Linked DNA regions of Tamandua tetradactyla. The protein of the gene in region 3 interacts with the protein of the main gene of each other region in a pairwise test. Links are inferred from orthologs where the notes say so. Each region holds a gene or a part of one and is shown on either strand. Other genes may lie near its edges.

Evidence for each region.
Region 1: the proteins of CPSF7 (region 3) and CLK2 interact in binary tests that used the Homo sapiens proteins (3 or more experiments, as listed by UniProt). The link is inferred for Tamandua tetradactyla from reciprocal best matches to the Homo sapiens genes CPSF7 and CLK2.
Region 2: the proteins of CPSF7 (region 3) and SNRNP25 interact in binary tests that used the Homo sapiens proteins (3 or more experiments, as listed by UniProt). The two-hybrid records come from large-scale screens. The link is inferred for Tamandua tetradactyla from reciprocal best matches to the Homo sapiens genes CPSF7 and SNRNP25.

The regions. Positions count from the first base shown.
Region 1 is NC_135330.1:8,215,288-8,222,623, reverse strand, and holds the start of CLK2 (dual specificity protein kinase CLK2), read left to right. Parts: upstream 1-4,319; 5' UTR 4,320-4,608; intron 4,609-7,124; coding exon 7,125-7,294; intron 7,295-7,336. Other genes in the region: HCN3 (potassium/sodium hyperpolarization-activated cyclic nucleotide-gated channel 3), read right to left, coding at 1,592-1,881. UniProt on the Homo sapiens protein: Dual specificity kinase acting on both serine/threonine and tyrosine-containing substrates. Phosphorylates serine- and arginine-rich (SR) proteins of the spliceosomal complex.
Region 2 is NC_135349.1:57,278,563-57,286,130, forward strand, and holds SNRNP25 (U11/U12 small nuclear ribonucleoprotein 25 kDa protein), read right to left. Parts: upstream 2,871-7,568; 5' UTR 2,712-2,870; coding exon 2,670-2,711; intron 2,613-2,669; exon of another isoform or gene 2,073-2,612; coding exon 1,982-2,072; exon of another isoform or gene 1,840-1,981; coding exon 1,734-1,839; exon of another isoform or gene 1,361-1,733; coding exon 1,286-1,360; exon of another isoform or gene 904-1,285; coding exon 846-903; 3' UTR 518-845; downstream 1-517. Other genes in the region: POLR3K (DNA-directed RNA polymerase III subunit RPC10), read left to right, coding at 3,124-3,234, 6,124-6,211, 7,450-7,568.
Region 3 is NC_135335.1:13,708,838-13,716,830, forward strand, and holds the start of CPSF7 (cleavage and polyadenylation specificity factor subunit 7), read left to right. Parts: upstream 1-4,990; 5' UTR 4,991-5,110; exon of another isoform or gene 5,111-5,183; intron 5,184-5,311; exon of another isoform or gene 5,312-5,416; intron 5,417-5,768; 5' UTR 5,769-5,823; coding exon 5,824-5,877; intron 5,878-7,993. Other genes in the region: SDHAF2 (succinate dehydrogenase assembly factor 2, mitochondrial), read right to left, coding at 3,699-3,808, 3,890-4,113, 4,851-4,886.

The DNA.
Region 1 (7,336 bases), on a different chromosome or scaffold from region 3:
TCAGAGATGTCCGTCTTCCCCACACAGCCCCTCAGACAGGGCTGCACTTAAGGAGGAGCTCCAGAGGAGGTAGCAAGATAGCAAGGCTGTGTTCCCTTCCTCTTCTTACACCCCTATGCCCTCTGGGCCTCTGCTTGAGCACAGGCAAGGGCTTGAGCAGGGGAAACCCATTTCCTGTGGCAGAAGCTGTGGAAAGATGTCAGGAGGGAGCTGAATTCCTCATTCAGAGAAAATTACTGGACTATCTTTAGTCTCAATTTATATAGGGTCTCAATTAATATAGAGGTTTAATTCGAGAACACATCTAATCCTAGCATGAACCTTGGATCCAGCCCCTTATGGTTTTGACTGCGGTATTAATCCTTTCAGACCCTGAAAGGGGCTTGGCGGTCCCCAAGACCAGGATTTCCCTCCAGGCCTCCAGGAATCTCTCAGACTGTACTTTCAACAAACAAGAAGCCCTCAACCCCCCTCGGCTGCTGAGGAGAAATCCTGTACTGTGAGCTAAGAAAGGAGAGAGAAAGAGGGCTTGCCTAACCACAGAGCATCTTCACAGCCTGACTCACAGGCGGTCACAAGCCCAGCGGGTGATGCAGTAGAGAGGACAGAAAAGAATCCCGATCGTAAGGGGGGACACACGTTTCTGAGAGTGAAATGGGGCAAGGGAAGGAGACCCATACAGACTAGGAAAGGTACACTGGTAGGGGGAATGAAGAAAAGAGAGGACTGGAAGGAACAATGGGGCAAGGAGAAGCATTAGGGAGGGCACATGTCTGTGGATTCAAGACGATGTCTAGGTCTCCAGTTCTGTGTGCTCAGCTCCTGAGTCACACCTTGTCCTTTCTTTCCCCAGGGTAGGTGCTTTGCACCCATCCCTGGCCCATTTAAAAGCTGTCCTTCATTTCCCCCAAGGACAGGGCTACTCTCCTCCTCTAACGACCTTGATGTAGAGGTACAGCCTGAAGGGGACCGTGAAATGGCCCCACCCCCAACCCTCGTTTCTTCTCTTTGGGAATCACCTGGGCGGTGGCCGTGTCCCGCTGCAGTTGCCTCAATCGCTCAAAGTACCGGCCCCGGCTCCGGCCCACCGCCTTCAGCACCAGGGACAGAGACCAGAGCCGTTATCGGGTACCTCCCCACTCCCCCATCCTCGGCATTCCTAACCTAGGCAAATGCTGACCGGTGGAAGACAGCGGAGCTCGGCTTCTCCCTAAGACTGACCCTGAACCTTGGAATAATATCCCAGATCCCCAGCAAGCAGGACTGGAGGAGGCAGGGATCCATAACCCTGACATTCCCTGTGGTCCAGATGGGTCCCAGGTTCCTGAAACGGGAACTCCAGATCCCCGAAGATTCCCTGTTATCTGCTTGCCCCTTTGGGCTTCCCCAGCCCGAGAAATCATCGAGGACCTCCGGCCAGATACCCCCCACCCAGGAATTCCCAGGCTAGGTGGGGAGAGGTGACTTTTCCGCCCCACCCAGGGACCCCTGTGCCGGAAATGAAGTGACCAAGGAGGCTGGAGAGGACCCTGTACTGCACCCACGGGGGTGGGGTCTGTGTCCCCCGCCCTCCTTGCCCGGCCCCCAGTACCGGAAGTCGCTGTAGGGATGGATGATCCAGGCCCCCGCAGATTTGACCCGCTCCTGCTCGATTTCCACTGCTTTGTGGCTGCCGAACACGCGAAGCGAGAACTTGTTGACCGTGGGCTGGAGCAGCGTCCTGAGCTGCCTCCTTTTGGGCTCGGACCCGGTCCCAGACCCGGACCCGGGAATCTGACCCGAAGCCGCGGTCGCAGGGACCGGGGCAGCAGGAGGCGCCGCCTCCAGCCCAGGGGTCGCCCCGTCGCCGGCCCCCGCCGCTGGCCGCCGCTCTGCCTCCATGACGCCCGCCAGTTTACACGCTTGGCCTCCTGGATCCCACCGCGGCCATCGGGGACACCTCCCTGACCCCTGCCGGAGCCGGAGCCGGAGCCTGCATAGCCCGGCGGGCTCGGAGCGGAGGCGGCGTCGGCTGGGAGCTGCCCTGGCGCTGGGCGGAGGGGGGGTGTGTGCGACAGCCTGGCGGGCGGGCGGGTTGCGTGGCGCCCCCTGGCGAGGGCCGCGCGAAAGCCAGGCAGTGCGGGCGGGGGCGGGAGGTCCCGGGGTGGGCGTGGCTTAGCAAAACTGAGGTGACTCTCCAAGTGCAGATCGCCGAGAAGGCGGGGACGCGCAGCCTGAGCCAGGGGGCGTGGCCAAGAGTCCGGCGGGAAGGGGGAGGGCGTCCAACCACACAGCGCCAGGGGGTGGAGCCTCCCGCAGGAGGCGGGAAAAACCGGCGTGGGTTGTGTCTCCTGACACTGGGGAAAGCGATGGGACTGAACGCCAGCGGTAGGAATGGGGAATGATTTTTTAAATTCTTACCCACTGTCTCCCACGGACTTTTGTCCTCTTCAATTCCACCTTCTCTTAGCGCTCTCCTAGGCATATTCCCTTTCAATCTCTTCTCTTCTAAGCTGTTACCCCTAGTTATTCATTTCCGAATTCATTCACCAAGCGCGACTCTGCCTGGCATTAGCGGACGCCAAGAATATAAATATGAGTACGAAAGTCCCAGCCATCAAGCCACTGCTTGGCTATACCCATGGAGACCAGAACACAGGGAAATTACAGTGCTATGTGATGTTAAGTGCTTTAAGTTTCTAAATATCTCAACTTCTTTTCCTCCATTTCTTACTGCCATTGCCTTACTTTAAGTCTGGGCCATTTTCTCCGTAGATTATTTCAGAAGCCTCTAAAAGGGGCTCCGACCTCTCCCAGACCAATTCTTTTTCGACACACTGCTAGAGTTACCTTCCTAAAATCCAAATGTAGCTACCTTCCCTTGCTTAAAGTCCTTCGAAATTCCTCTTCTTCCTAGGATAGTATTTAAACTCCCTAACATGGCATATAAGGCCCTGCGAAATTTAGACTAAGTTTCAACAACCTCTCTTCTGATAGTCTTCTTGAAGTCCAAGGCTCCAATCATGCTGACATGCTAACAGCTCCCTGAAATGCTTTGTTCTGTTTCATCTCCAGACCTTTGCAAATGTTTTCCTTGCCTAGTTATATGCTCCTCCAATTTACTTTCCAACACTTGGTTCTGATTTCCCCTGGGAAGCCTAAAAGCACATTTCCAACTCTCTTTTCCCAGGCAGGGTCGAGCCTAGAGCTTTTTTTTTTTTTTTTTTTTTAACCTATAGCTCAGATGCAGCTTCATTCAGTGTTTTAGCCTAGAGCTTTTTACAGCAACCATGACACCATAGTTGATAACGGTGCCTGTCATATGGCTGCCATTATTTGTTTACAGATCTTTTTCTGCCATTACATTGTGAGGCTCTGGTGAACAGGAATCCCGAGCCTGGCGCAATGCTGGACGTAGTAGCACTCAGTAAATGCTTGTCAAATGAATGAATGATCCGAGAAAGTGTTAATGGTAGAACGAAGTGAACTATTCGGTCTTTCTCCCCAACCTCTTCGTTACCTTTCCACTCCTATTTTAGTGAACTTCTAAGCCGTTGCTGCTTAACTCGTCTAATCTTGATCTGGTTACTCCCCCATCTAAGCTACCCTCTGATATTCCTTGAGTTAATACAGTTATCCTTGGGTTATTTTTAAATTTCCCTTGCAAGTTTCCTTTCTGGTCAACTGTCAATTCCTTCTATAGCGTTTCTGACCTCACCTAGTTAGCCTCAAGGTCTCTTCCTCTCTCTCTCTTTTTTTTCTTTCCCGATTCGGTGAACTTATATTTCTCACATTTTTCGTACAAGGCACGTAGGATACAGTTCTCAAGTGATTTCCCTTTTTCGGCACCTGATTGTTCAGCCTTCCATTTTTCACACTTTACTTCCACGGCCATGCCCCCGCCCACACACATGAATAACTTTTGTTCAGAACAAAGGTTGGGAACCCCTCTTTGCTGCGGTTAGACAGGTACTGTTTTAAAAAACTGGATATTTTTCGGCTATGCTGGTGAAACAGACCTCACGCCAAGCCTCTCAAGATAAGGTCTGCGGAGAGACGACACACCTTTCATTCAACAAAGCCACAGAAATCTCGATGAAAAGGGTAAAGGACTGGAGACCGAGAGGAGGCGGGGCAAACTGGTCTAGTAGGTGTCCGTGCGCCCCTGCCACTCCTTCTTCGCCCCCAGGAACATCCACCCTCGGCATCTCTCCCGCCCCATTGGGCGGACGCCCACGACCTACGTGAGCACGCGATGGCGTGCGCGCCCCTGGGGGCGAAAACCAGGGGTAGCTGGGAAGGGACGCAGTGCGTGCCTGCGTGCGTGCGTACGTGCTCGCTCACGGTGGCGGCGGCGGATCGGAGAGGCCAGATCCGGAGACCGAGCTGGGATCGGGCCCCGGGCGGGGGCGGTGCGAGCGGCGCCAAGTGGATCCTGGGGGCGGGGACGGAGCAGGGGCGGGCGGGACTGGAGCGGAGCCCGGGAACGGGGCGGGAGGTCCCAGGGTTCTGGGTTGGGGGGTGTGGAGCTGCACTTCGTCGCCGCGGGGGTGCCGGGACTCCGGCCGCAGTGCCGCCGCCATCACGGACTTCCTGTGGGACAAGCGCACGGGCCTCGCCGCCAGAACGGTGAGCGCGCGGGCTGCGGGTTCGCGCGGAAAGATGGCGGCTGTGGGGGCGCGCCCTGCGGGGCGGGCGGGGGTAGGATGGAATTGGGGGCAAGGGACGGGGGCGAGATTATGAGAGAGTTGAGACTTGGGAAGTGGCAGAATGGGGGAGTAGGGAGATGAAGTGGAAAGAGGTCGACCTGCCTTAGATCTGTCTGGGGAGGTCCATAGGAAACTTGCGAGGGGCCAAAGTAGGAGACGGGTGATGGAGTAAAGGATAGGAGAGGTCCCAGAGATGAGAAGGAGCAAAACATCAAAGTTGAACCAAGGCTGAGGGAGAAGACACGGTGTGTGTCACGTGGGATACGAAAAGAGTTTGAGTGTGTGTTGGGTTTTTTAAATGTGAAAAGTAAAAATAGGATTTCTAAGTTGAGAAGTGTTCTAGGCTATATATGCTTTGTGGGAAGGAGGACTGTGAGGAACTTTGGTGGCAGTATGTATGTGGTAAGGTGTTATTTATGTGACTGTGTTAACTAAACAAGGTTGAATTACCTGTGCTTTGCATCTTATTGGTTTTCTCCTATTCCCATTAGGCCAGGAATGAGTCAAATACCACCCGCCCCAATTTGAGGAAGTTGGGAAGCAGTGGCTCAGAATGGGAGCCAGATGTTAGAGTCATTAATTCTTTTGCACACTTTATCCTACCACCACCACCACTACTTCTGAATCCCTGGGTCTGTTCATTTTGTTCTGCCCTCCTATTCCCTTCTTCTTAGATTATGACAATGATTTCTGTCTTGATTCTTTCTCTAAAAAACATCTGTGCACCTTGCAGTTCTATATCCAGTAACTAGAGGGTGGCCAGTTCTCAACCAAGTAATTTTTTTTTAATAAAACCAATCAACACACAATATGAACATTTTTTTATGACATAGTTGTATATCATCATCATGATCATTTCTTAGAACATTTGCATCAATTCAAAAAAAAGAAAACAAAAAAAATCATACGTATAATACCCCTTACCCCTCCCTTTCACTGATCACTAGCATTTCAGTCTACTAAATTTATTTTAACGTTTGTTCCCCCTATTTTTTATTTATTTTTAATCCATATGTTTTACGCATCTGTCCATAAGGTAGATAAAAGAAGCATCAGACACAAGGTTTTCACAATCACACAGTCACGTTGTGAAAGCTATATCATTATACAATTATTTTCAAGAAACGTGGCTACTGGAACACAGCTCTACATTTTCAGGCAGTTCTCTCCAGCCTCTCTGTTATGCCTTAACTAAAAAGGTGTCGTCTATTTTTAATGTGTAAGAATAATCTCCAGGATAATGTCTCGACTCTGGAATCTCTCAGCCATTGACACTTTATTTTGTCTCATTTCTTTCTACCCCCCTTTCGGTCAAGAAGGTTTTCTCAATCCCTTGGTGCTAAGTCCCAGCTCATTCTAGGATTTCTGTCCCATGTTGCCAGGAAGGTCCACACCCCTGGGAGTCATGTCCCACGTAGAGAGGGGGAGGGCAGTGAGTTTGCTTGTTGTGTTGGCTGGAGAGAGAGGCCACATCTGAGCAACAAAAGAGGTTCTCGTGGAGGTGACTCTTAGGCCTAATTTTAAGTAGGCTTAACCTTTCCTTTGTGGGGTTAAGTTTCATATGAACAAACCCCAAGATTGGAGGCTTAGCCTATTGCTTTGGTTGTCTGCACTGCTTGTGAGGATATCAAGAATTCTCCACTTGGGGCAGTTGAATTTTCCCCCTTTCTCACCATTCCTCCAAGGGGACTTTACAGATACTTTTTATTCACTGTTCAAGTCCTTCTGGGATTTATCGAGTCAGCCACATAATTTTGATATTAATTAAAAATAGTTATTCTCTACTAGCACAAGAGGGGAGGAGTCGGATGGAAAGCTGATTGTACTTTGGGGCCTCCTGTATTAAAACCTCTCACAAAGATGTGAGAGACAGTAGTTCAAGGATTCAGGCCCAGATTTCTTAAACTTGCTTAAATTTGGTATATACCTACTATATCTAGAAATCTATGAACTGGATTCCCACTCTCAGAATACTGATCATCTAGCTGGGAGATAAGATACATTCTTAGGGACTGAAAAAGCCTAACAGTGTATGCTATAGCTTTATTCACTTGTTATGAGAAAGTCATTGTGGCATAGATCTGTCTTGGGACTGTGACAGTTTCTGTCAGTCACACAGTCTTATCACGATAGAATTATGGCCCAGACCTGAGAGTCTTTCACGGAGCCGTGTTGGGGGAAAACGAGGTTAGAGGAATGAGCAGCATGGGTGGAAGGGGAGCGTCCCAGAGTTTTCAGTCACAGTAGTTGAGTACGCATTCCAATCAGGAGGAATTGTAAGCACAGAGGAAGACTGAAGAAGTTGTGAATGGTGAAAAGAGGTAGGGGTAAAAGAGCAGAAAGCAGGTTAGCATCTTTGGAATAGTGGGTCCTTGTAGGGGGACCTCTGGAAACTCCAAGCATCCCTCACTATTTCCACTTTTCCTTCCGTTCCAGATGCCTCATCCCCGAAGATACCATTCCTCAGAGCGAGGCAGCCGGGGGAGTTACCATGAACACTATCGGAGCCGAAAGCATAAACGACGAAGAAGCCGCTCCTGGTCTAGTAGCAGTGACCGGACACGGCGGCCCAGGCGGGAAGATAGCTACCATGTCCGTTCTCGGAGGTGAGGCCTCTGGAAGAAAAAACGAGTCTCAGGGTCACAAAT
Region 2 (7,568 bases), on a different chromosome or scaffold from region 3:
AATAAATGGACTGGGAGCGTTTTAGCTGCCACTAACTTACTATGAATTGTCTCTTCCTTTCTGGTTTCTGGCTGGGCAGCCAGTGAGGTTCCCCAGCCTCCAGGGCCCTCGCCTCCAATGTCCAGTTCCCCAGGACAGGCTCTCCCAGTGAGGTCACAGTGAGGTGAGGGTGGAGCAGGACTGCAGGGACCCGCTGGCATGCCCTCGCCCTGCGGGGGCGCTGCCCCACCTCCCTGCATGTCCAGCTGCTCGTTTCACCACCACCCCTCCACTGAGTCTGAGACTGCTGCTGGGAAAGCCTGTGGGGTTTCTGTGGCTGTATGCCCCACACTACCACTGTGGTCACCAGGACCCAGCCCTTACTCCCCCACTAGCTCAGACAGATGGTACCCGTCTTCTGTTCCCTCCCCACCACACAGGCAACGGGAACAGGGCTATATGGTCGGGGGAACAGGTGTGCAGTCTTGGGCCTCACCCCTCCTCATTCCCAGTCCCTCCTGCTTAAGGTACAGTTGCCTTTTTGAATTTTCAAACTAAAAAGCAGATTTATTTTGTATACAAAGCTGGGCCCACAGGCTTCTAGGATCCACCAGGCCATCGGGATGTCTGGGCCCAGGGAGGGGTCAGCTTGGCCAACCCAAGCAGGAGAGGAGTGCCTGGGCCTGGGCCTGAGCTGCCCATCCCAGAGGGCCCTGCTGACAGCCCCATGGGGGAGGGGGAGGAGGCAGAACCCACCTGGGGTGATGCCACCTCAACCTGCCTCTGAAAATGGACGGTGACTTAAGGGCTCTTTCCTGCAGAAAAAGCCTGGCCACCAGTGAACAAAGCTGCCCTAGTCCAGTGGTTCATTTTTGCCTCAGCTTTTTGATGAAGGAGACCTCATCCCGGTTCCGGATACCATAACTGAAAGAGAAGGAAAGAGGGCCGTGTTGGACCTACACAAAACTCCTCAGGGGCTCCCACCTGAGCTCCTGAGAGGCTCATCTAGGACAGTCCACATGTCCGTCCTCCCGCAGCCCCACTCTTCTCCATGCACATGCAGCCCCCCAGCACGCACTCCTCATGCTGGTGAGATCTGCAGTGCACTCAAATCTGCTCCTCTGCCTGTCCTCCACAACGCGGGAGGGCTAAGACCCAGCTCCCTGGAAGCACCCCAGGACTTCTGCTGACCCCACAGGACTTCTTGGGAAGGCAACAGCACCCACGTGCTCTTGGCTCTCCCCTAGGAGGGGTCCTGGAGGCAAGAACCAATCTTCCCAGTGGTGAAGATGCAGCCTGAACTTACTCTCGGAGCTTCTTCCTGTCCTCTGTGAGCTTCTCCCCTGCGGACGTCAAGTGGTACGTCCTCCACACGTAGGACCTGCGGGAGGGACGCAGGTGAATGCCTGCTGCCTCAGCCCTTTGGGACCCGCAGCGGCCTGCCTCTCCTTCTGTGCTATTCCTGCACCACGTGCGCCCCTCCAAGTAGCTCCAAGGAGGTGCTGCTCTCAAAAGACCAAACACCCTCGGCTGCAGAACCAGGCAAGGAAGGGAGGGGCTGCCAGCAGACAGCAGCACCACCAGGAGCCCAGATGAGGATGGCGCAGATGAGGAAGAACTGCCCGAGCTTCTTGGGGCAGGGAGTGCGTCCCTCGCCGCTTTACAGCAGCAGTGCTCACTTGGAGCTGGAGCTACTTCCCCGCCGGCCCACGCCTGCCTCCGAAAGGCTGCCCAGGAGCCACCACCCCACCTACCAGCTGATGTGCTGGATGCCGCCGTCCCGCTCCTGCTTGAGCTGCACGTATCTCTGGATGGCCTTCTTCAAGTCCAGGACCGTGGCGTTCTGCACGACGACCACAGCTGCCACCGGGGACACAAACGGGAGACCGTGGTGGGGACCGACTGTCAGAGCCCACATGCCCTGCCCACCCCTGCTAACAACAAGGCATCCATGCACCACACGTTGTCTCGCCACCTGGCCCTGTGAGGACGGGCCACTTACGCATGACTTCTCCATCCATCTTGCACACACGGACTGTCATTGCCTGTCCATATTCTAGTGCTATCTGGGAATTGACCTCTTCCAAAGTGACCTAGAAAAGACCAAGGGGTGTGTGGGGCCCAGCGCTCCTTCATTACCCCAAACAGCATGAAGGAGAACAAGCTGGCCGTGTCCACACAGTGGTCACCACGTTTTATGAAGGGTAGGGAGGGAAAGGGGGTCTTGCCTGTAAACTAGATTTCCCGCTTACTCGTGTTCCACCCACACATTTACGTTCAAGTTTCAGACTGGACAGAAGCGGTGGGCGTGGGGTGGGGGCCAGGAGTACAGACACAGGAGGATGCGCCCACTCCGGGTCCAGGCCTTTGCTTCCTACAGCCTAAAGGCTGGGCAGGAGAGGACGCCGGGCTGGTCGCTCCACCCGGAGGGCCCTCGGTCACCAGACAGGGCCAGCGTGCGAAGGGTAAGGGGCACCGGCACGCGCACGACCCGAGACGACGGGAGTGTAAATGCACCACTCATGGAGAAGTCAGCTCTGGACTTGTTTGTGCTTAAAGCCTGCCCACCGCGAAGGTTTTCTGTGCACTAACTGCGGCTTTTAAACCTGCTGCGACCGCGCGCCGCGAGCGCCGCCGAGACCCGCGCCCGGGGCCTCCGCCAGCGCGGGCACCTGGGCCCGCCCGCGCACCTGGATGGGGAGGTCGCACAGCAGCGGGTCCTGCACCACCATGGCGAGGCCCTCCTGGAACACGTCCACCGCCTCCGAGTGCGGCAGCGCCTCCTCCTCGTCCTCCTCGTCCTCCGGCGCCAGTGGGCGCGCCCCGACCCCCGCCTCGGCCAGGGCGGCGGGTGCTGGGAGCCGCTCCCGCAGGCTCGCGCGAGGGTGGCAGAGTGCGCACGCGCCGGGACCGCAGCGCGCAGAGCGAGGGAGGCAGGTCATTGGTGCATCTGGAAGACGGGCGGTCATCATAACCAATGACAACCGCAGGACAGTTTGCTGCCCGTCCCACAGGGCGCACGTAAGCGGCGTGTCTATTGGTGAGTTGAAGGACAGGCGGCTGCCAAGGCCAATGAAAGCTCGAGGCCTCGGCACCGACGGGTCCCGGAAGCTGGGGCCGTGGAGACTGCCGGGAGTCGCCGCCATGTTGCTTTTCTGTCCGGGTTGCGGGAACGGGCTGATTGTGGAGGAGGGTCAGCGCTGCCACCGCTTCGCCTGCAACACTTGCCCGTACGTGCACAACATCACCCGCAAGGTGAGTCCCGCAGGCCCGCCGCGCCACGGACACCGGCTTGGTCCCCGCCACCCCCCGTCAGCCCACAGCGCCCTTCCTCCGCTCTCCCCCAGCTTTGGGACTCCCGCGGCCTCCAGCCGCCTCGTACCCCAGGGCCGCCCCCAGGGGCGGGCGCAGCCGCGGCGGTACCCCGACCTTGCTCGCTCGTGCGGCCGCTGCGACGCGGGCCTCCTGGAGGACCCCCACCGCGCCGGGCCTTTGCCCGCTTCCCTCTCCCTGAGGAAGCGCCCTGCAGCTCCCCCGTTATGTCCTCCTCCCGTTTTATTTTTTTCCCCTAGGACTCACCTGCTAACATCCCATATAATTTTTTAAAATTTATTTATTTATTAATTTAAAAAAATTAACAAAAACAACATATTATTCCGTTCTACATATATAATCAGTAATTCACAATATCATCACATAGTTGCATATTATCATGATCATTTCTTGGAACATTTGCATCTATTCAGAAAAAGAAGTAAAACGAAAACAGGAAAAAAAATTTATGCATACCATACCCCTTACCCCTCCCTTTCATTGTTCACTAGTATTTCAAACAATCAATTTTAACATTTGTTCCCCCTATTGTTTATTTTTATTCCATATGTTCTACTCGTTTGTTGACAAGGTAGATAAAAGGAGCATCAGACACAAGGTTTTCACAATCACACAGTCCCATTGTGACAGCTGTATCATTATTCAATCATCCTCAAGAAACATGGCTACTGGAACACAGCTCTACATTTTCAGGCAGTTCCCTCTAGCCTCTCCATTACATCTCGGATAACAAGGTGATATCTACTTAATGCGTAAGAATAACCTCCAGGATAACCTCTCAACTCTGTTTGGAATCTCTCAGCCACTGACACTTTGTCTCATTTCGCTCTTCCCCCTTTTGGTCGAGAAGGTTTTCTCAATCCCTTGATGCTGAGTCTCAGCTCATTGGAGGCTTTTTTTTTTACTTTTTATTTTTCTCCTCTCTCTCTCCTTTTGTTTTAAAATTCTATAATATAACATATTTGTTGTATTTGGTTTGTAGTGTTTTATTGTGTTTTACATTTCATTAATAACATGATGTTGAGGTGACGTGAGGTACCCATTAGCTCTTTTGCCCATTTTGTAATATGCCCATTTTGTTTTCTTATTGTTGAGTTTTCAACACCTTTACTTTTTAGAGTAGAGCACGTTCGTGCTATCTCATTTTCCTTTTTTTCTTTTAAACAGATAAATACATAATTTATCGTTGTCTTCATTTCCATTAGAATACATTCCTGGCATTTGCACCTCTACCATTTCTAGAAGTGGGTATTCTATTTACGTGTAGGTTTCACCTCTTAGAGGTTAGAAATTTAAGAATAATTATTAATGCGATAATTTACTTAGGTACTGATTTTCCCTGAGCACAGGATTAAATATCCCAAACTAAATTTATAACAACATTTTGTTGCGGCTTCATATTTTACTTTCTTCTTTTAGTGAAACCTGGACTTTAAGATGTGATCTTAGAATCTGCAAGTACTGAAGCATAGTTGGATTGAAAATGAACTTCAAGCCATTTTACTGTATAATCAAGACACATCATCCCATCTAAGTCTTTACTTGATCTAAAGTCCTGATATTGATAAGCTTTCGTCTATTACTAATATCCCTTCTCATTAGTAAAATAAAGTGTTATCCGAGCAGATTATCTTAAGTTAAATGCATTTTAAGTTTCTCTAATTTTTTTCTTATCAGCTCTTAGTAATAATTTTTGCTTCCTGTAGGAGGGAGAGTCCTGGAGTGGTTTATTCAGTATACACTGTTATTAATTAATTAGCTCTGTAAACTTCATCAGTTAATTAAGTTCACCTTTCAGAACTTCCTGTTTCTGATCTATAATGTGAGGAGAGTCCTTAAGGTCTCTTCTAGTTCTAACATAAAATTATAAAGACCCAAATTATGTAAATTTGTACATTTATAAATTTCCTTTTAAAACATTTTCAACACAGCCTTATAAAACATGACACAATTTGTTACAAAATTGTGAAGCACTACAAATTACTTTCTTTGGAGTCTTACTGATAAAGTCAGTAAATACACTTATTTTATAAAGGCTTTTTCAAATGTATTGAAATAAAGCCGAAAACCAAGACACTGTAATTGATTATAATAAATATTGTTGCTAGGGACTATATAGATTTTTGCTGCTTAAGACATCTCTCATCACAAAATGATATAAAACCAGTGTTTTTATTAAATATGTAAACTTATCTGAAATTTATTTAGTATCTGATGCTTGTGAAAAATTCCTTTTAAATACATTTAATTTCAGTGGGAGAAAATAGAGAATCTTGATTTTCTTGACATCGTTGGTTATCTCATTCTTCTTAATGTTTGCAAACTACTTAACCATAAGCAATAGAGTCCAAAACTCGTGTAAACCCGAAGTTCCAAGGATGTCTGATAAAAGCCAAGCATAGACTGCTTCGGAAACTCTGTGCAGGGAGTGACCAGTTTACCCCACTAAGTGGTGCTCTTTGTTTTTGAAGTTTGGTTGTATTTGTTGCTCTCATTTTGAGTTATACCCTGGAGGGGTGGGAGAGGAGGAAGGCCTGTCTGAAGCCATTCTTTCTTCTGCTCTGTGCCTCTCTAATCCATACAGAGCTCTCCTCTACCTGTTGACTCCCACTCCTTGGCTCGGGGTGTGCCCTGATCACAGATTCTCTGAGTTCCAATGTGGTGCCAGGGACTGGTCTGTGAGAGCAGGAACTTTTATCTTCTGACTGTTGAAGGGAGGAAGTCTGGGAAGACACGAGGGCGCTTGTGGTTTGGTGCCCAGGGTTTATACCGTTCACTTACTTTAAGAGTCTGAAACTTGTTGTTTGTTAGGTAACAAGCCGGAAGTATCCAAAGCTGAAAGAAGTGGATGATGTGCTTGGGGGAGCAGCTGCCTGGGAGAATGTTGACTCTACTGCAGGTGAGCGGGGAGACCTTTTCCAGTTCATGAGCGGTGGATAGTATGAGGCTGCCAACTATGCCACTCTGTCTCAGCATTAGTGATGATAGTGTGGGCTTCCAAGAATGGAAAGCAAATTATTGTTTTCCTCCTTTAAAAATGGATTTGTTATACCAACGATATTGATAGAAGCCTTGGAGACATAGAGACCTGGGTTAGATTCTCAGGCCGACCTCTTACTGGGGACCCTGTTTGAATCTCTTCATCTGTCTGGGGCCAATAAAGTAAATGATGGGGTGCCTGGCATGTAGGAAGCACCCACCAGATGGTAGCTGTGAGGGCAGTGACAGCGATGGTAGTAGTAAAAACCAGGGCATGCAGAAAACCTAGGGTCTTATTGTCCTAATACAGATTTTTAAAAATCTTTTTTAATATAGATTTTAAAAGTTAATATCAGAAAGCGTTAAACAGCAGTCTTTTTTCAAGTGTGTATTCATTTCTGAGAAAGATACATGTGAGCAGGGAAGGAGAATGGAGAGTTCGAGACATAACCTGTTTTGCAAGGGAGAAGTACTAACTCTTGACTGGTGCCGCGTTTTTCCTGCTGAAGATCCTCAAGTTCTGCTGGCTTAAAAGGCTAGCCTTGGCAGAGTGTGTCCCTGAAAGGCGGTATGTGTCTCTAATAGGAGAAAGGGTGTTTTGGTAGTATGAGAGGGTCAGTTTCTTTCAAGAGCATGACCAGTTTCTCAAAGTGAAATCACTTTGAAGGTAAATATGTGCCTTGAGGCACTTTGAAAGGGAGTAGGGTGTGTGGTGACAGTTGGATCGGAGCAGCCTGAGGGACAGCTGCTGCAGTGGGTCCCTGAGGACAAGTTGGTGGGTGTGTCGTGAGTTCTGAAGATGAGCGGGTGTGTGCTCGTGGTCTTGGTCGGACGATGCACGGGGCAGGGAGCTCTGGGTGCAGACCTGGGAACCCTCATGGCAGCTGGGCGTCACTCTCCATGTTAATTAACCAGGATCAAACTTGACTGGAGAAGAGAAGTGGGTTCCCTGAGAGGAAGAGGAAGCATTTGACTCCCTTAGGGTTAGAGCAGAGTGGGAATAATGCAGCTGCTTACACATTTACTCCCTGTGTGAGGTGCCCTTGGCAGGGAAGAGCAGTTTAGCGGAGGGATTTCGTGGCTTTTAACGTAAGACTGCTTCCAGTAGTTATGGTCATGTCTGTATAAACTGGGCCACTTGCTTGTTCTTGTTGTCAGAGCCATGTCCCAAATGTGAACATCCTCGTGCCTACTTCATGCAACTTCAGACCCGCTCTGCGGATGAGCCAATGACCACCTTCTACAAGTGCTGCAACGCTCAGTGTGGACACCGCTGG
Region 3 (7,993 bases):
GATATGCCAAATAAAACTACAGTAATATACCACAGTGCTTTTTAATGAGCCATGTATAAAAAAAGGCTTAAAAACAAATAAAACCTAATAATACCAAGTCCTGGCAAAGATGGAAGCAACCGGAACTCTTTGGCATTGCTGGTTGGATTGCAAAAATGGTCTGATAAATTCGGGCAATAGTTTGGGAATTTCTTATATACACTAACCATAGGAATCCTTCTGGATATTAAAAACACCTAATATAAGATATTTTATATTGCCTATAAGAGTTAAGAACACCTAATACAAGATAAATTAAAACATACATTCACAAGAACCTGTATGCAAATGTTTATAGCAGGTTTATTCATGCTCATCTAAAAATGAAACTACCCTAATGTCCTTTAGTTTGGTCAATGGATAAACAAACTGTGGTATATCCAAACAATGGAACACTACTCAACAATAAAGAGTGAACCAGAGATACAAACAACGTGAATGAACCTCAAATGTATTATCTAAGTCAGGGATTGGCAAACTTTTCCTATAAAGAGCCAGAGAGCATATATTTTAGACTCTGTGGGCCATATGTTTTGTCAGAACTACTCAACTCTGCCACTGTACTGTGAAAAGAGCCACAGACGATATGCAAATAAAAAAGTGTGACTGTTCCAATAAAATTCTATGGACACTGAAATTTGAATTTCATATACTTTTCACGTGTCATGAAATATTCTTTTGATTTTTCTCTCTAACCATTAAAAAATTGTAAAGACCATTTTCAGGTCACCGGCTGTACAAAAACAGGCAGCAGCAGGCCATAATCCGCTGACGCCCGTGCCTAGTGGAAGCAGTCAGACTCAAACACTACACACATACTACATACTGCGTGATTCCATCTGCATGGTATTCTGGGAAAGGTAAAACTATCGAGATGGAAAACAAATCAGTGACTATGAGACTGGGTGTGATGAAAGGAATAACTACAAAGGGGTACAAGGGAACTTTTGAGGTGAAGGTATCATTTTATTCCTTGACTTTGTTGGTAGTTGTTCAACTATAAGCATTTGCCAGATAACTGTATAGTAAAAAAAGGTGAATATCAAGATGTAATGGCGAGGCTGGAGGGAACTGCCTGAAAATGTAGAGCTGTGTTCCAGTAGCCATGTTTCTTGATGATTGTATAATGATACAGCTTTCATAATGTGACTGCGTGATTATGAAAACCTTGTGTCTGATGCTCCTTTTATCTACCTTGTCAACAGATGAGTAGAACATAAATGGAATAAAAATAAGTAACAGGAGGAACAAATGTTAAATTTAGTTTGAAATGCTAGTGATCAATGAAAGGGAGGGGTAAGGGGTATGGTATATATGAATTTTTTTCTGTTCTCTTTTTATTTCTTTTTCTGTTGTCTTTTTATTTCTTTTTCTGAATTGATGCAAATATTCTAAGAAATGATCATGATGATGAATATGCAACTATGTGATGATGTGAATTACTGATTATATATGTAGAATGGAATGATCATATGTTAAGAATGTTTGTGTTTCTTTTTTGTCATTTTTAAAAAAAATTTAAAAATTAATAAAAAATTTTTTTAAAAAGGTGGCTACTACTGTATGTAAATTACACCTCAATAAACTTGACGATAAAATGTAATATAAATATATATGTAGAACGGAATGATCAAAAGTTAGAATGTTTATGTTTGTTTTTTGGTATTAAAAAAATAAAAATAAAAAAATAACATATTCATACAAAAAAAAAGTAATATAAATATATAAATTCCTGGGCTATCGGGAAGGGGTAATGGATGCTGTCAGTCCCAAAGAGTCAAATCTTTACATCATAACCAGAAAGGTTGTCTGCTATTAACTGATTCCCTTTCTGTGGTGCCTTGAAGAACATGCAATACCTCTTCTAGTATGAGGAGTACTGTTATGATTTTCTAGACACTCTTGACAAATGGAAGGAAAGTGATTTCTTCTCATACTTAGCCAACTGTGTCCAGAAAGACAAAGTTTCAACTGTGACCCGAGCCTGATCATACAGCACAACTAATATACTCGAATTTTATGACAGTCCTCCAGAAGCCCTACTTTTCAGGAAACTATTGCCTAGAAGAGTTAAAAACACCTAATGTGCTAGCTATCCTACCAACCAACACTTTCCATTTCTTTATAGCATTCAGGTTCCTTTGTATAGGGAAACAGCCCTTCCCAAAGCATATAGACCTGGTAAGAAGGTAAATCCACATGACTGTATTTGTGTTACCTAAGCTGCAAGGTCCCTGCAAGCATCTTTCTCTAGATCCTTCTGCTTACTGCAGTGGAAGGGCTAAGAGGAAAACATATGCCTTAAACTCAACCAAATGGACTTTCTCTTCAGGGAGTTTTATCTCGGGCTGAATCATCTCATCAACTAGACCTTCTCCACAATCTTTCTAAGGAAGCTAGGGGATTATGTGAAACAAAATCCTCTTCCTACATGATTCCATATTACAGTCTGCCAACGAGAAGCAGTCATGTGAGATTTGCAAGGTGAAAGAGGTCAGGCCAATGCTCTCTGGACAGAGGTATAGACAGATAAGTGGACTGACATGAGGTTAAAGCACCTTCTGGGTAGGTCTTTGAAACCCACTTATTTTGTTCCTGCAGTCAAAGTTCCAAAATACAGGCACTTGAGATTTACAGCAACTTCTGGACCAACTCTTAAGAACTACCCACTGTTGCTGCAGGCTGAGATGGTCAATAATTATTGGTAGACCATCACTCTTCCAGACTTCCAATTGTTGTAAAAGCCTGAATTACCACTTTTCATGCTTGGAACCTGTAAATTGGCTTCTGTTTCCTGATACAAATATGAGTGGAGACATAAAAACGTGAGACCGAAGGAGCATGGCAGAAACGAATGAGCTATTATATCCATCATCCCCTTTTTCCTTGATAAGAGAACCTTCAATTTAGCTAAGCACATGGCCCCAGAATACCATATTATTTTTCCTTTATGGCTGGTGTAGCTTATGGAAAATGAGTGGAAATACAATGTACAACTTTCTGAGAAGTATCTACAAAGAAGGGGATATGCTGTTCTTTACTCTTTTCTCTTGGCTGTAATATGGACATAACTGGCAGAGCTTTAGTAGCCATCTGGAATCGTGAGGTAAAGGACACATGCTGAGGATGGAAGAACAGCAACTCAAAAGAAACCTGGACCACAAGACTTTTGGAAGCCCCTCTATGAGTTTTGGACTTCTATTATGAGAAAGCAAAATATAATTCTTTCCATCCTGTTTAGGCCACTATTGGTTTTTACTCATAACCAAAACTAATCCTAAACATGCACAACTAGAATTCATTCCCAGCAAAGGCAGTGCTAGGGGGGAAACTACTGAGGAATTCTTGCTCTGCAGAAATAGAGTTATCTAGATCCAGTCCATACCCAGCCTAGTTTTTCCTTAGCCTTCCCTTTGATGCTGTGAGTTTTCCATATACCCTTTCACCAAATTACTTTTTTGCATAAGTTAGACAGAATGAGTTTCTGCAACTTGCAAACAAGGAACCCTTGAAACTTACAAACTTTGGGAAAATTTTAAGAGTGTCTGGGATGTGTGTCCACTGCCACGAAAAAAAAAAAAAAGCCTAGGATACAATTCTGGACTTGTATCACCCAAGTCATCCTACTTCCACTTTGTGCTGCTTGTCACGCCCAGTACCTGTGGCCCAGTAGTAAATATCCCAGTCATTACTGGGCTCATTAATCAGGCGATCATAGAGGTTCAGCTGTTTTTCTGTCATTTGGTGCAGATATTCTTTAGCAAAGAGGCTAAAATGAGAAAGAGAAAGGAGTTAAAAAAAAGCTGTCTCTGGTCAAAGAGAAATGACACCAAGACTCTAATTCCCCTACCTAAGGAGAATACAGTTTTCCAACATTCCCCTCTTTCTGCTTTCATAGAGTAGGCGGGCTCTTTTGGTTTCTATGGACTCATCAGTTCGCTCCTGCCACGGAGGCAAGGGAATTTCAATCATGTCTTTTTGAGAATCTGCTGGGCTGTCACCTCTGTAGAAGCGTCTGAATGATGTCACCCTGACCAAAGGAGACACTGGGCTGCGACCTGACAGAGCAAGCATCTGAAACAAATAAATCGTAAACATCTTTATAATAAAAACGACTACCATCACTGTCACTCACTCGATACTTACTAGGTGTTAAATGCTTTAGATGTCATTTAACAGCCAAGGAAACCAAGGCTCAAAAAGGTTAAATAACTTACTCAACTTCACCCAAACAGTAACGGAAATCTAGTCTTAACCGCAAGCATCTGTTCTTAACGGGTACCCTACAGGAGATTCTCCTAGCAGAAATATTGTCTCCTTTCTTTACATTCCCTTAAAATTACTACAATTAAGGTTTGTTTTCCAGTCTCTCGCCTGCGTTAAAAGGTGAGGATACAGAAATGACATTGTCCTAACCCCTCCCCCCTAAAGGCTCTCAATCTAGAGAGTAGCACAAAACCATCAAAACACGATCAGAAATCACAACAGATATCAGAGGCTTCAGAACAGGGAGGAATCACAAGAGGCGGTACGGCTTAATTTGCCCGGGAAGTAGGTGACACCTGCATTGGGTCCCGCACCACGACTGATCATGCAACGATATCACGGAACAGGCACAAAATGGGCTCACGAAAGGTTGGAAGCGACCCGAATCTCCTGAGCTGCAGGATCGGCCTGCCCTTGGCCTGCCCTTGCCCTCGGCTCTCCAGCAGCTGAGCCTTCCCGGCGGTCTCTATGACTGCAGCACAAGACGAGACTCAGCCAACGCTGCCTCCTGCCCGGGACCCTGGAACCTTACTATTCTCTCTCACCCGCGCCAGAGTCGGGAATACCGTGACCACTGCCATTTTCCCCGAACAGCACCAGAAGCCTTCAGCCCAGCTACTTCCGGGAATGCCCGGGTAGCAGGACCCGAGGACTTCAGCGCGAGGGTCTGAGCCGGAAGACGCGTCCCTGCGAATAGCGGAAGTGGCAATGCGTGTGACGCAGGCGGCGGTGAGGGCGGGGCCTGAGGCTGAGAGCGGTTCGCGCGCTTCGGGCCTAGTCCGGACTCGCCGCCGCCATATTCCCGGTAACGGGGGCGCGCGGCCACGGGCCGGCGGGGCCGGAAGAGGGGTCGGGGCCGGCGCTGAGGCGGGGAGGGGGTCGGTTGAGCCTGGGGCGTCAGCAGTTGGAGGGCGGAGGGAGGCGCGGGGCTTTAAGGGAGGTGGCCGAGGACGCCGGGCCCGGTCTGTGGGGAGGGAGCTGGGCGGGCCTAGCCTGGTGGGCGAGGACTCGGCCCGGATGGGGAAACGAGGCGGCTGGAGGCGGTGCGGATCCGGGCGGAGCTCCCGGTCCCGCAGGGGCTCTGGTCGGGGCCACCCCGGGGCTTAGGCAGGTTCGGCGGGCCGGGGCTGAGGGCTTCGTCGTAGTCGTCCTTCGCAGCGCAGCCGGAGGGCCCTTAGCAGCTGAGGCCTCGACTTTCCCGTCGCGCCATAGACGGCTGCGACGCAGTTCGAGCCAGGCCCGAGGGTGATGGGCAGCTCGCCCCGCGAGCCCGGTGGCCTGGGAGAGCGGGGCGGGGTGGGGGGGACGGGAGGGGGGCGGCGCGAGGCCGGGGGCGGGGCGGGAGGGGGGCGAGCCTTGGCTGCCGGGATGCTGCATCTCTAGAGACGGGAGGGTGGCAACCCTCGCCCTCCTTCCAGCTCAGGACCCTCTTTCTAACTCTTACTCTTTTCTGGATATCGCAGTGTCATCTTTTTTACTTCGTCGGTTCTCTGCACTCGAGATCTTCCTTCCGAAGCCATGTCTGAAGGGGTGGACTTGATTGATATATACGCTGACGAGGAGTTTAATCAGGTAAGGAGTTATCAGGAGCATCGTGGTATTCGTCCATCAGCTAAGGAATCACTTCCAGCAAACTTGGCAGTGGTTCCAAGCAGTGCCGGGCCTTAAGGACTTACTAAGCCTGGACACTCCCATCAAGTTTAAAGTTTTTCCTCTATCAGAGACCTCTAAAACTACCTAATACCCCGCTTTATGTTCATTTGAGCCTTTAGGCTTAATTTTAAAGAGTTTGATTTAAGAGCAAATAAAAACTCAGGTTTAATTGAATGGTGAATTAACTTGTGGAACTTGCTCCCTCAGGAATCCAAAGGTGGATGTGCTTCTCCTCAGTGACTAACCACACTTAAAAATCAGAATTGTATTTGGTGCACTGTTCATGAGGATGATTAAATAATTTTGATTTCTGTTCTTTTCCATTCTCTCACACTGCAACTGGAAAATGGTGTAGTCCCACCCCTTCGAAGGGCATAGTATAAAGCATTTCATTTCAGCTCTCCGTTGTTTTAGTAGAAAGGCATAGTATAGAGCATTTCATTTTAGCTCTTCAGTAAGTAGCTTGTCTCCTTTCTTGAGAAGTCCATAGCATTTTGGTGTAATAAATTTTATTGATGAACCTTACTGTGCCTAGGGGGAAAACGGGTGAAGGTGTTGAACTTACCAGTTGAAAAGCAGATATATACCCACTCATCTATCCAAGGGTGGGTTTGTTGGTTTCTTAACAAAGAAACCAAGGTTTCTTGGTTTGAATATTGAAAAATGTTAAATATAAGTATCTTTTCTCTTAAAGGGATACTTTTAAGTACATTTTGGTTATGAAATCTTGAGTTCAAATCTCAAGAATGTTTGTAAGTCTCTGCCTAAAGTTTACTAACACCTTGCTTGGTTTATTTTCAGCACTGGACTACTTGGGCAAACTGGTCTCTCTGTGGGCATCTTCCAGTTAGTTCACATGAGAACCTGAAAAGAAGATAATAGAATACTAGGGGGGTTAGTGCCCTGGTTGGGCGCTGACTTTGATATGAGGAAATAGGAAAGGTTGATAGGTGCCATTATTTTCACTAAGTTTGCATTTTGGGGGCGGGGTGGTGGTGGATGGATTGCTGCTTTTTTTATTATTAATAATTCCAATAATACAAACCCTATTCCAAGAATTCCAGCATACCCCCGCCCCTAGATCCTCCAATTTTAACATTTGGCCACCTTTGTCATGTCATTTTCTTTACCTATTTATGTATATTTTCTGAACATTTAAGAGCAGGTTGCATGTATCATAGTCCTTGAACATTTGGTACTTCCATGTACATTTTCTGAGGACGAGGGTGTTTGTTTATATAATCACCTTAAATGAATTTATCAAGTTCAAGAAATTTATCATTTATATCATGCTTGTATTCTATATTCCAATTCTTTTTTAAGTCCCATTAATGCCCTTTTGAGCATTTTCTCCATTTTTAGGTCCTATATAGTGTCATAATTGCATTTAAATGCCGTTACCTTTTTAGTTTTTTCATTCTTTATTTTTCTTAAATTGTGGGAACATATGTAAAACATAATCTTCCAATTCCAACCTCTTTGAAGCGTACCATTCCATGGGATTAATGATCTTCACAAAGGGCAGTACCTTCACCAACCATTACTATAACTTTGTCTTCACTACAAACACAAATCCTGCACTCATTTTACAGTATCTCCCCATTGCTTCTGTCTGACACCCCTGTTAATCTGTGTACTACTTTCTGTTTCTGTGAGTTTGCATATTCTCATACTTTCTTTGTAGTTATCAATGGGATTAAATTTAACGTCCTAAATCTGTAACAGTCTCTTTTGCGTTGATACCATCTTAACTTCAATAGCATACATAAACTATGTTCCCATACTCTTCTGTCCCCTTTTTGTAGGTCTTATCACAAACTACATTCTCATATATTATGAGTACCAAAGCTTTGATTTGTCATTACATTTTTTTTTTAACGTGGGCAGGCACCGGGAATCGAACCTGGGTCCTCGGGCATGGCAGGCAAGCACTCTTACCTGCTGAGCCACCGTGGCCCGCCCCATTTGTCATTACATTTTATGCATTTGCTTTTCAATCTTGTAGAAAGAAAAAAAGTGGATTTACAAAGATACA